Linked DNA regions of Ovis aries. Each later gene encodes a partner of the first gene's protein in a complex. Links are inferred from orthologs where the notes say so. Each region holds a gene or a part of one and is shown in the gene's direction. Other genes may lie near its edges. The genes, in order: VDAC1, SPG7 and PPIF.

Evidence for each region.
Region 2: VDAC1 (region 1) and SPG7 share a complex: the UniProt entries of both Homo sapiens proteins name them as parts of the mitochondrial permeability transition pore complex. The link is inferred for Ovis aries from reciprocal best matches to the Homo sapiens genes VDAC1 and SPG7.
Region 3: VDAC1 (region 1) and PPIF share a complex: the UniProt entries of both Homo sapiens proteins name them as parts of the mitochondrial permeability transition pore complex. The link is inferred for Ovis aries from reciprocal best matches to the Homo sapiens genes VDAC1 and PPIF.

The regions. Positions count from the first base shown.
Region 1 is NC_056058.1:43,312,597-43,316,247, reverse strand, and holds part of VDAC1 (voltage-dependent anion-selective channel protein 1), read left to right. Parts: intron 1-323; exon of another isoform or gene 324-326; 5' UTR 327-329; coding exon 330-396; intron 397-934; coding exon 935-984; intron 985-1,887; coding exon 1,888-2,040; intron 2,041-2,135; coding exon 2,136-2,188; intron 2,189-3,651. UniProt on the Homo sapiens protein: Non-selective voltage-gated ion channel that mediates the transport of anions and cations through the mitochondrion outer membrane and plasma membrane.
Region 2 is NC_056067.1:14,010,130-14,014,408, forward strand, and holds the start of SPG7 (paraplegin), read left to right. Parts: upstream 1-1,331; 5' UTR 1,332-1,360; coding exon 1,361-1,543; intron 1,544-4,235; coding exon 4,236-4,279. UniProt on the Homo sapiens protein: Catalytic component of the m-AAA protease, a protease that plays a key role in proteostasis of inner mitochondrial membrane proteins, and which is essential for axonal and neuron development.
Region 3 is NC_056078.1:34,158,235-34,160,623, forward strand, and holds part of PPIF (peptidyl-prolyl cis-trans isomerase F, mitochondrial), read left to right. Parts: intron 1-848; coding exon 849-945; intron 946-1,479; coding exon 1,480-1,555; intron 1,556-2,389. UniProt on the Homo sapiens protein: PPIase that catalyzes the cis-trans isomerization of proline imidic peptide bonds in oligopeptides and may therefore assist protein folding. Involved in regulation of the mitochondrial permeability transition pore (mPTP).

The DNA.
Region 1 (3,651 bases):
AAAGTAGCTGGCTCATGGGAGTGTGTCTTTGACAATCAATTCATTTAGCAAATACTGACTGACTCCTGCCATATTCTGGGCCTGTGCTTAATCCTGGGGATACCTAAGAGAAGAGGTCTCTAAAGTCAGACTGGTCTGCTGTCAATAAAAACCTACTGGGTGTTTCCACCTCTGGCCGCAGAAGCAGCAGGAGACTGCACAGGTATCTTTGTCCACACGTGGGGGAAAAAGGTACCTGGAAGTCAGTGCTGATGATTTTTATTGGTGGAAAATGAATATCTGTAATTTCCAGAGTGTTTATTATGGTGATTCTTTTATTATAGCAGAAGATGGCTGTGCCTCCCACGTATGCAGATCTTGGCAAATCTGCCAGGGATGTCTTCACCAAGGGCTATGGTGAGTGTTGCATGGAGTGGCCCTTCAGCTCAGAGACTGGGTCCGCTTGTTTGGTATTCTGCCCGTCACAGTTGGAGAGAGCTGGGTCAGTCAGCTCTTAGAACCTTCATGTCAGGGGAAAGAGATAAGCCTTCTATGGCTAGTCAGGCAGTTTTGGTTGCGTACCCAGTTCAGGTCGGCGAGCGAATTGCTCAGACTAGTGGACCTTCTTGTTTCCTCTCCCAGGCGGGAGCAGGTCTGGGTGCCGCTGCGGTGGACTGCGGCTTCTAAATTTAGCTTTTCCTTAGGCTGGTGCTCATGCTGTCACACACCTTTTTCTCAGACTCCGCTGGGGCTGCAGGTGGGGCTGTGCCTGTTCCCTCTGCCACTGTTCCGTGGCAACCAGTCTCCATGGCAACCAAGCTCCACCCACAGAGGCAGGCAGCAGTGGAGACTGGTGCCCTCTGCACTCATGGCATTTTTAAGATTTCCTAAGGGAGGCAGAGATGCTGCTCTTGAGTTATTTAACCTATTAACAGTGACCATGTTCTTTCTTTAGGATTTGGCTTAATAAAACTTGATCTGAAAACAAAATCCGAGAATGGATTGGTAAGTTGTCTGGCCCACACGGAGTATGGATATTTATTGTAGATCAGTAAATAATAAATAACTTCCATCTGAGTGGCAAGCAAAGGGACTTTTCTGATTGTGGCAACTTGTGGTTGTCACATTTATTGCCTCTTCTGTGGAATGGGTGGTCCAGGGGAACCAAGCCACTAGGTCCCCAATTCACCACCTATTAATACTCATAGGAATATGAGGCAGGCCTCCGATTTATTTTTCCTTATGTATCTTATTTCAAATATTGACCTGTGTTCCATACCACATGATTATTTAATAAAAAAATTAGTAGTATCTTTTAGATTGTGCATGTAGTAATTGTTGGAAGGAAGAAGTTTTGGGTAGAATTACTGCAATGTCTGCTTTAGCTCAAAGCCTTTTCTCTGTGTGAGCCTGGAGACAGGATGGAAAGAGGACATGATGCCTTCCTGTCCAGACTGAAGAGTTGCAGGGGAGGAAGGAAGCTGTCTCTTGATATAGAATTCTCCGTAAGATTCCTTTAGTTAGCGGATTCCATCTTTAAATAGTTGTTTAGTTGCAAAGTCGTGTCCAACTCTTTGCGACCCCATGGACTGTAGCCCACCAAGCTCCTCTGTCCTTGGAATTTCCTAGGCAAGAATACCAGAATAGGTTGCCATTTCCTTCTCCAGGGAATCTTTCCAACCCAGGGATAGAATTCGCATCTCCTATATTGGCAGGCGGATTCTTTACCACTGAGCCACCGGGGAAGCCTTTTTGACACTTTAAATATCTAATTGAATTATAGATGGAGCTTTTGCACCCAGACGTTCAGGGTCTCACCTTTTGCATAAAGGAAAGTGCAGTCCATTTAGGGGTGGAGTGATGCAGAATGAAGTGCTGGCATGCAGGCTGTGACTGTCTTCTTTAAAGGAATTTACGAGCTCAGGTTCAGCCAACACCGAGACCACCAAAGTGACGGGCAGCCTGGAAACCAAGTACAGATGGACTGAATATGGCCTGACGTTTACAGAGAAATGGAACACTGACAACACACTAGGCACAGAGATTACTGTGGAAGATCAGGTAATGGTCATCTGTGGAAAGAGGCAGTTTTACCAAGTGACGTCTGCTGGCCTGTCTTGTGACTAACCCTGTTGGTGAATTTCTTTTCTGTTCAGCTTGCACGTGGCCTGAAGCTGACCTTCGATTCATCCTTCTCACCAAACACTGGGTAAGAATTTCATCTGTTTTCTCCTTAAGGACACTTAGCAGTGTTTTATGGTGAGGTTCATTCTGTGCTGTTTGTTATTGTTTTACTGGCCTCAGCTGAGGAGGCTGCAGGATTTCTGGTCCAGTGATGCTCCATTCCTTGTGAGTGAGGCTGCTGGTAATGTTAAGTGGCCAAGGCTGTAGGGCGGTGTTTGGAAGCAGGGGCTAATGGGTTGCTGTTGCTAGCCTTATTTTTTTCAGGCTGGAGAGCCCTTTCCCCAGCTTCCTACTTAGGGACACTGAGAGTGTGTGGGCTTTAATTGCAAGGTGGCTCCTGAGGCTGCACATTTCTGCTTCAGGCCCTCCAGCCACAGGCAGATTAGGCTTGCTGGTTATTGAGGACCTCGGTCTTCCATCAGGGAAGGTAATGAGCCATCAGTGCTGCAGTGCACGAGACACAGAAGATGCAGGTTTGATCCCTGGGTCAGGAAGATCCTCTGCAGGAGGAAAATGGCAGCCTATTCCAGTATTCTCGTCTGGAGAATATCATGGACAGAGAAGCCTGGTGGGCTGCAGTCCATGAGATTGCAAAGAGTCGGACATGATTTAGTGACGAAGCACAGCACAGCACGGGAGGCAAGAGGATGTGTTGGTCTGCCTCAGCTCCTGGAGCTTTTCACAGTGACTGAGGGAGTTGTTCTCTTCCAGAACACACTCTTGTTTTTTTCTACTCAGCAGTTGGGTCCTTTAGGTCTGAGAAGGTTGTTTTGCAGACTGATGATAAGCCTCAAGGGCATGTATTGAATTTCATTTCTTATTTAGTTTTAAAATTATGGTAAAATGCACATAAAATTTACTTCCTCAACTATCTTTTAGGTGCGTGGTTCAGTGGCATTCTGAATTCCATTTTTTGCCATTTGATGTTATTTTCTTCTCTCTCTCCTTCCTTTTTCTTCTTCCAATGAATATTTATTAGAGGGAGACGCTCCCGAGTTCAGACCCTGTGCAGGGTGACCACAAGGACTGGGCACATTGGGATCCTGCCTCTAGATTATAGTCTTTTTATAACTTGATTATGGATGGTCTGAAGATTATTGGCCAGGAGCTGAATTTACCTTGTTCTCATCTCTGCTGTAGTTTCTCCTGTAGGAGCATGGCCTTCCTGCTTGTCTGCTTCCCCCCAGGCACCGTGATGGGAGAAGTTATCCAGAAAGACACTGATAGCACAAGGGCTGGAGGATGTGCCCACATGCTTGAATTTGCTGTTTAGGACTTTGCTTGCTGCCCTGAGGTGGCACACTTTGGAATTTGTAAAGGGTTTGCTCACTGCCTTTGGGGAGTTTGCAGAGACGACTCTAGGACTTGCAGTAATATATACATAACCAAAAAGTTTTTTTATTTGGAAATTTAACTATTTTTATACTTAACATATATAAAAATGCTGCACAAATAGTGTACAGAATCCTCTTATATTCTTTACTTGCC
Region 2 (4,279 bases), on another chromosome or scaffold:
TGCAGGTCAGGGTCAGCCCCTCGCCACACACAAGAACCTGGCTGCTGGAGCCGAGGACCAATAATCAAAACTCTGCATTTAAAACAATGTCCCTAAACCTTCTGAGCTTCAGGACTTTTACATCATACATGTTACTGCTGTAACACACAAAGCCATAGGGTGGAGAGCATAGGCCCTGAAACCAGTCAGACCAGCTCTGAAACTCTGTGCATCAGTTCTTAGCTGTGACCTCGGAGAAGTCACTTTAAAGTGCCGAGTCTGTTTCCTTATCTGTAAAACAGATGTAAAAGTATCTACTTCTCACATTTGTGAGGATTAAAAGAATGCCTGCTACAGAGCCAAGCCCCAGCTAGCACTCAGTAAGAACGGTTATTGCCTAATGACCTTAGGAATTTGGGGAATACAGAAAAACACAGAAACAAACTTAAGTCACCGTACAGTCAGCAGTCTCAGGGCTAAGTACTCTAAGCACTCCAGCACCAGACCTAAGGGAGCCTGGGGTCCGCCAGGGATAAAACCACAGACTCCTCCCCTTCTCCCAGGGATGGAGTGAGTGGACTACAGTCTCCTAGGCCATGATCCTGGTCTCCAGAGCTAGGCATGACTTCCAGAGGGGGTCGGCCTGTCTTCAGGAGAAAAGAATAGTGGAGGCGACGGTTACCTCTTCAAAATTAAGCATCTGTAGGACAAGACTGCCGGCCGCTCACGCCTGGGAGCTGGCTCAGCTACCCTGAAGTACTTGCTCTTACCCTAAGCCCTTTCCTTTTCCTCTCGGTATACAGGGCCCTTGGGGCACCAGCGGGGCAGGCTCTGCAGCTAGAGCCCGGGAGAGCGAAACTCTCCCCTCCGCAGCATTCTCCTCGCGCCAAGACTGTCAGGGGTCAGGGGCCCGGGTCTAGGTGGGAGTCGGACTCAGAGTCTGGATCTGAGGCTGGAGTTGGGGGTCAGGATTCGGGCCCGAAGTCGGGGTCAGGGCCTCAGGCGGGCCCCACCATCTACGCACGTCTGCTCCCTTCGGGCTCCCGGGCTCCCTCCGCAGCCCCTGGACCCGCTGGGCCAAGTCCTCCCGGGAGCCGCGACCTAGCGCGGCGTCTGATGCCCCGACTCGGGGCCCACCAGGCTGCAGTTCTACTCGCAGCGCTTGTACTCGCAGTACAAAGTGGCAGTTCAAACCCGCCAAAGAATCCCAGTGGGATTAGAGTTGCAGCGGATCGCTCGGTCACGGAACCCGATCGCGGAGTAGCAAGGCTTGACAGGCCTCACTGGAAGAGGCCCGACCGCGCAGGCGCCCCGCGGAGACACCCCACCCCCCGACCCCCGCCTCCCTCCCCAGTAGCGCAGGCGCAGCTTCCGGGTCAACATGGCGGCCGCGCGGCTGCTGCTGCGCGCTCTCCGCCCGGGGCCGGGACCGGGGCCGGGGAGGCTGCGGTGCCCCTACTCGGGCTGGAACCCAGGCTGCTCCTCCGGGGCCAAGTGGAGGTGGCCGTATGTCGTCCACAGGCCTCCGATGGGCCTCGTCGGGCCTGGTGGCCGAGCCCTGCAGGTAATGTACGGGCCTCCGGCAGCGGCGTTTGGAATGGTAATGTGGAAGATGCTCTCCGCCGCTTCGGCTTCGTCTTCCGAGAGGCAGCTCCTACCTGCAACCCGGAGGAGAGGCGGGCGGCGAGGCCGGCGGGCAGCCCGAGGGAGAAACCGGGAGCGAGGCCGCACAGTTGGACTTCTCTAGCACTTGTTTCGTTCTTCCCTGGTGGCTCAGTGGTAAAGAACCAGCCTGCCAATGCAGGATGGTACCCTGGGTGGGTAAGATCTCTGGAGAAGGAACTGGCAACCCACTGTAGTATTCTTGCCTGGGAAATCCCATGGACAGAAGAGCCTGACGGGGTCGCATGGGGTCGCAAAAGAGTCACAAGGATTTAGCGACTAAACAACAGCACTTGTTTCGTACATTGATATTTTTTGCCCGTTTTCTTGGTGTTTTGAAATTGAATCGACTAAGAGTTTCACTGATATCTAGCAGAGGATTATTTGCAGTCATATAGATCAGATCACTCCAGGATGAATTCTAGTGCCTTCCAATTGCTCTGAGCGGTTTTTCATGTGAGCACTGTAACTGTATTTTATTCTTATCATGTAGCTTGACATGTTATGGACACAAATTCACTGACCCTCTGTGTGAAGGCTGTGTTCCAGGCCCTGTTAATGTTAACATTTCACTCTGGAAGCAGACCCTAAATGCTTTTTTCACTGATTTTTTTAGCCCTCTCTTAGGACCCCAACCCTCGCATTTTAGGTTGTAATGTATTATTGTATTTTACCATAAGTTGAGAACCAATTTCATATCATAATCCTATTCTACACCCTTTCTGAGTCTGAGGACAACTATAGATCATGGCATCCGGTTCCATCACTTCATGGCAATAGATGGGGAAACAGTGGCAGATTTTATTTTGGGGGGGGGCCTCCAAAATCACTGCAGATGATGACTGCAGCCATGAAATTAAAAGACGCTTACTCTTTGGAAGAAAAGTTATGACCAACCTAGACAGCATTTTAAAAAGCAGAGATATTACTTTGCCAACGAAGGTCCATCTAATCAAGGGTATGGTTTTTCCAGTAGTGATGTTTGGATGTGAGAGTTGGATTATAAAGAAAGCTGAGTGTGGAAGAATTGATGCTTTTGAACTGTGGTGTTGGAGAAGACTCTTGAGAGTCCCTTGGACCGCAAGGGGATCCAACCAGTCCATCCTAAAAGGAATCAGTCTTGATATTCATTGGAAGGACTGATGCTGAAGCTGAACTCCAATACTTGGGCCACCTGATACAAAGAACTGACTCATTGGAAAAGACCCTGATGCTGGGCAAGACTGCAGACAGGAAGAGAAGGGGATGACAGAGAATGAAATGGTTGGATGGCATCACTGACTCAATGGACATAAGTTTGAGTAAACTTTGGGAGTTGGTGATGGACAGGGAGGCCTGGCGTGCTGCAGTCCATGGTGTGGCAGAGTCAGACACGACTGAGCGACTGAACTGAACTGAAAGGATAGATTACACTTGTTTTTGTTTTAAGTTCTATTGAGAAGGAAAATCATAATTCATTAATTCTAGTCAGACTTGATTATTCTGTGAAAATAAATAAGGACTGAAGTAGGCAATTCACACATACTTGGTGGATACGTAACAGATTATCTCACTAACAACTAGAACAGTAATAACATAATCTGGTTTAAACAAACAGCGTTTAGGGTTGACTTTGAAGAATGACTTTTGTGTGTGCTGTGCCTGACACACTGTTCCACGTTTATAGTGCCCAGTCTACCTCTCTGTGGTTCTCCCTTATATGCCTCCTGGCCATCACTGAACCAAGTATAGTAGTATTAATTAAACTGGATAATAATTGTATGTACTAGGAATTTTTAACCTGTTGCTAAAAGGAAATTATATGTAGCATACTCCTTTGGTAAGGAGTTACTTTTCTTCATAATAGCAGCCAACCAGGGGTGAACTAAGGGAAAGAACTTAAATGTATGTATATTAAGTGTGTTAGTCACTCAGTCATGTCCCAGTCTTTGGGACCTCATGGACTATGGTCCGCTAGACTCCTCTGCCCCTGGAATTCTCTAGGCAAGAATACTGGAATGGGTAGCCATTCCCTTCTCCTGGAAATCTTCCTGAGCCAGCAATCAAACCCTGGTCTCCTGAATTGTGGCCAGACTCTTTGCCATCTGAGCCACCAGGGAAGCCCTTAAAATAAATAAGTCGATAAAAATGGAGAAATTGCTACCACTGAGATAGAAAAAATTAGGTTGGACCATTGACCATAACATAAAATACACTCAAGTGGGAAACTGGACTTCATGGGAATGTTCCACAAGGAACGGTTGTCTGGAGATGTTGGGAGCAAAAGTTCTGGACAGCCAGTGAAGCCTTTGCTGCTTGTGTCCTGCAGGAGTCCTGGGGCACAGAATAGCAGCCAGTGTTCCGCACCTCCATTTCAGCGTTTCTTTGACTTGCTTTCTTGCTGTTGACATTTGGAACTTTTTTTTTTCTTTTGATGTTATGGTAAAACTTTGAAATAATGGTCAGATTGTTGGTTCATATTTCAGTGCAGTGTAAATATTACATAAATGAATCTTGGCGCTTTTAGGAAAAATTTTGTATCGGGTGAGTTTGCACTGCCAGTTGTGCTGTGGCGTCCGTGTGATTGAGGCTCTGTGACCTTCTTTTCTCTTCAGAGTTTCCAGTTGCGACTGCTAACCCCTACCTTTGAAGGAATCAG
Region 3 (2,389 bases), on another chromosome or scaffold:
GCTGCAGAGGCCCCCAGCTCTGCCTGAGGCTGTAGATTGAGCAGAAGCCGAAGCGGATGTCCAAGCTGGGCTAGGATCTTACTCTTACCACAGTAGGCAAGGGCAGGGACTCCAAAGCTGGTGGGCTCTTGGAGGCATGGGATGGTGGGACCAGGCACGGGGAGGCCTGGTCCTCTCTGGGGACACCTTATTGGCATTTGTGGATGCTTCAAAAGCAGGGCTAGTCAGGTCATCCCTGTTACCCGAGGAGGTCATCTCAGGAAAAGAGCAATATGATGGGGGCTGGGGCCTGGGGCTGGCAGACCCTGGGCTCTTCTGTCTGTGGCTCCTTGTGGAAGCCTTGGGCAAGCCGTGAGGAAGACCACCAGCCCTGGGTGGACTTTGTCCTAGGCCGGGTGAAAGGGAGATGCTGGGACAGGAACTGGGGCTCAGCAGAGGGACCTGCCTCTGTGCCAGCTACCCGCAGACCACACTGGGGAGCAGGGACTCCTGGCCTCCTCCTTGTTTACCCTTCAAGAGTTGTGGGTAGAAAATTCTAGGTCTCTTAAGAAGCAGCTCGAAATGGCTGAGAATTTTTAAGGATCATTTAAAATCTCACTCAGACAAAAATGAATCATTCGGAAACCAGGGTAGTTATTGGGGCAGAAAGTATTAAACCTTTATTTTGTTGTTGCTTACGTTCCTTAGCATTATATTAGCCCTTCTATCACTGGGTGTTTTCTGACCCCTTTGGCTGAGGGCTCCCAGCTGGGTAGGCCCTGGGGGGCTGGGCGCTGTGTCCCAGCATGGGAATAGCACCCCTCTGCCAGCTCTAGTGGCGACACTCAGCTAGCGCTCCGTGTTCGCAGGCTGGTGACTTCACCAACCACAACGGCACGGGGGGAAAGTCCATCTATGGAAGCCGCTTTCCTGACGAGAACTTCAAGCTGAAGCACGAGGGGCCGGGTGAGTAAGGCTGTCAGTCCCCACCTGGGCATGTGCCCTGAGCTGTGAGCCTGGCGCTGCCACCCCAGCAGGCCTGCAGGCTGCAACCGGATGGCTCCACATCTAGGGACACATCCTCCCTCCTTCAGGGTGATGGGTGGGCTTACTGGATTGTCCCAGAGGCTTTTTCATCCTGAGCTCTCAGTTTCAAAAACAAATCTTTCTTTGACCACCATGCTCTGAGAGCCGTTAAGCAAAGCCCTAGCTTTATGTTACCTTTAGGACCCAACGTGAAATGTGGAAAAAGCTAGAGTTCAGGGCTGGAGGTCCTGCCCCTGCTCTACCACTGAGAGCCTCCAGGAGGCCCTTCCCTCCTGTGTCATCAAGGCGGACAGGCCCTGGGTGGCTGTGTGCTCTGGGCTTGGCTCTCCTTTTCTGAGCCCCAAGTATCTTCAGCCGCAAGCATCCTTCCTGTGGTGTGCATCATCTGCTCTTGAACAGTTCCCAGGTGAGATGCCTCCTGGGGCAGCCTGCTCATCCCGCTTGTTTTCGCAGGTGTTCTGTCCATGGCCAATGCAGGCCCCAACACCAACGGCTCCCAGTTCTTCATTTGCACCATAAAGACAGACTGGTGAGTTGCCAGCTCCTGGTCCAGGCCCTCAGGGTAGCAGGGGTGGCCTTGAGCTGGAGCGGGAGGATAGTTTGAGGCCAAACTCTCTGCTCTGGGGCAGTAGCCCTCACCCGGCTGAGTGTGTAAGAGGAGAAAGGCCCCAAAAGCATTGAGGAAGAATTTGGGTTATTTTGCAACTCTTGTCTTTTATCAGGCTTCCCATTGTTGCTGTAGCTGGAATTTCTCAGTGTTCTGAGCATGCACACGTACACACAGGAAAGAATTCTCTTACCAAATACATTGGGGAGATGCTGCAGAACTTATCAGGCCTCGGGATGGCTTGTGGCAGAAGCTTGCTCACTCGGTTTAACCTGCCGTTTCCCAGCTTATTTAACTTTGGGCTGCACCTTGGAAAATGCTGCAGTAGACAACATTTGGATATCATACCGGATTTCTCATCAGGCATTAGCACCAGCCTGTTGCAGCCACCAGCCCTGCTGGAACCCTCTTTCCCATTGCCCTTGTATTTTAGGGATGTCTTCCCAGGTCAGTTTCCCACTACCTAATCAGTTTTCGCTTCCCAGAGTCCCCTATGTCCTCACCCTGAGGCATCTCAGCGGGGTGAGGGGACAACAGCTGGCCTGGAGCTAAAACTTAATAAAGCCCATTTCCAAGGACTTTAGGGAGACCCAGGAGGTGGCGGATACTAGTGGTCTGTAGCCTCTGAGCCAGAAGGGACACGGATGTTGGAGTGGGCAGGTTGTTGCTGGCCCTGCCTGCCCTCCTTCTGTGAAAACCCCTGGTGGAACCCCAAGTGTAACCCGTCTTGGTTGGTGGCCCTGAACTGAGCTGCCT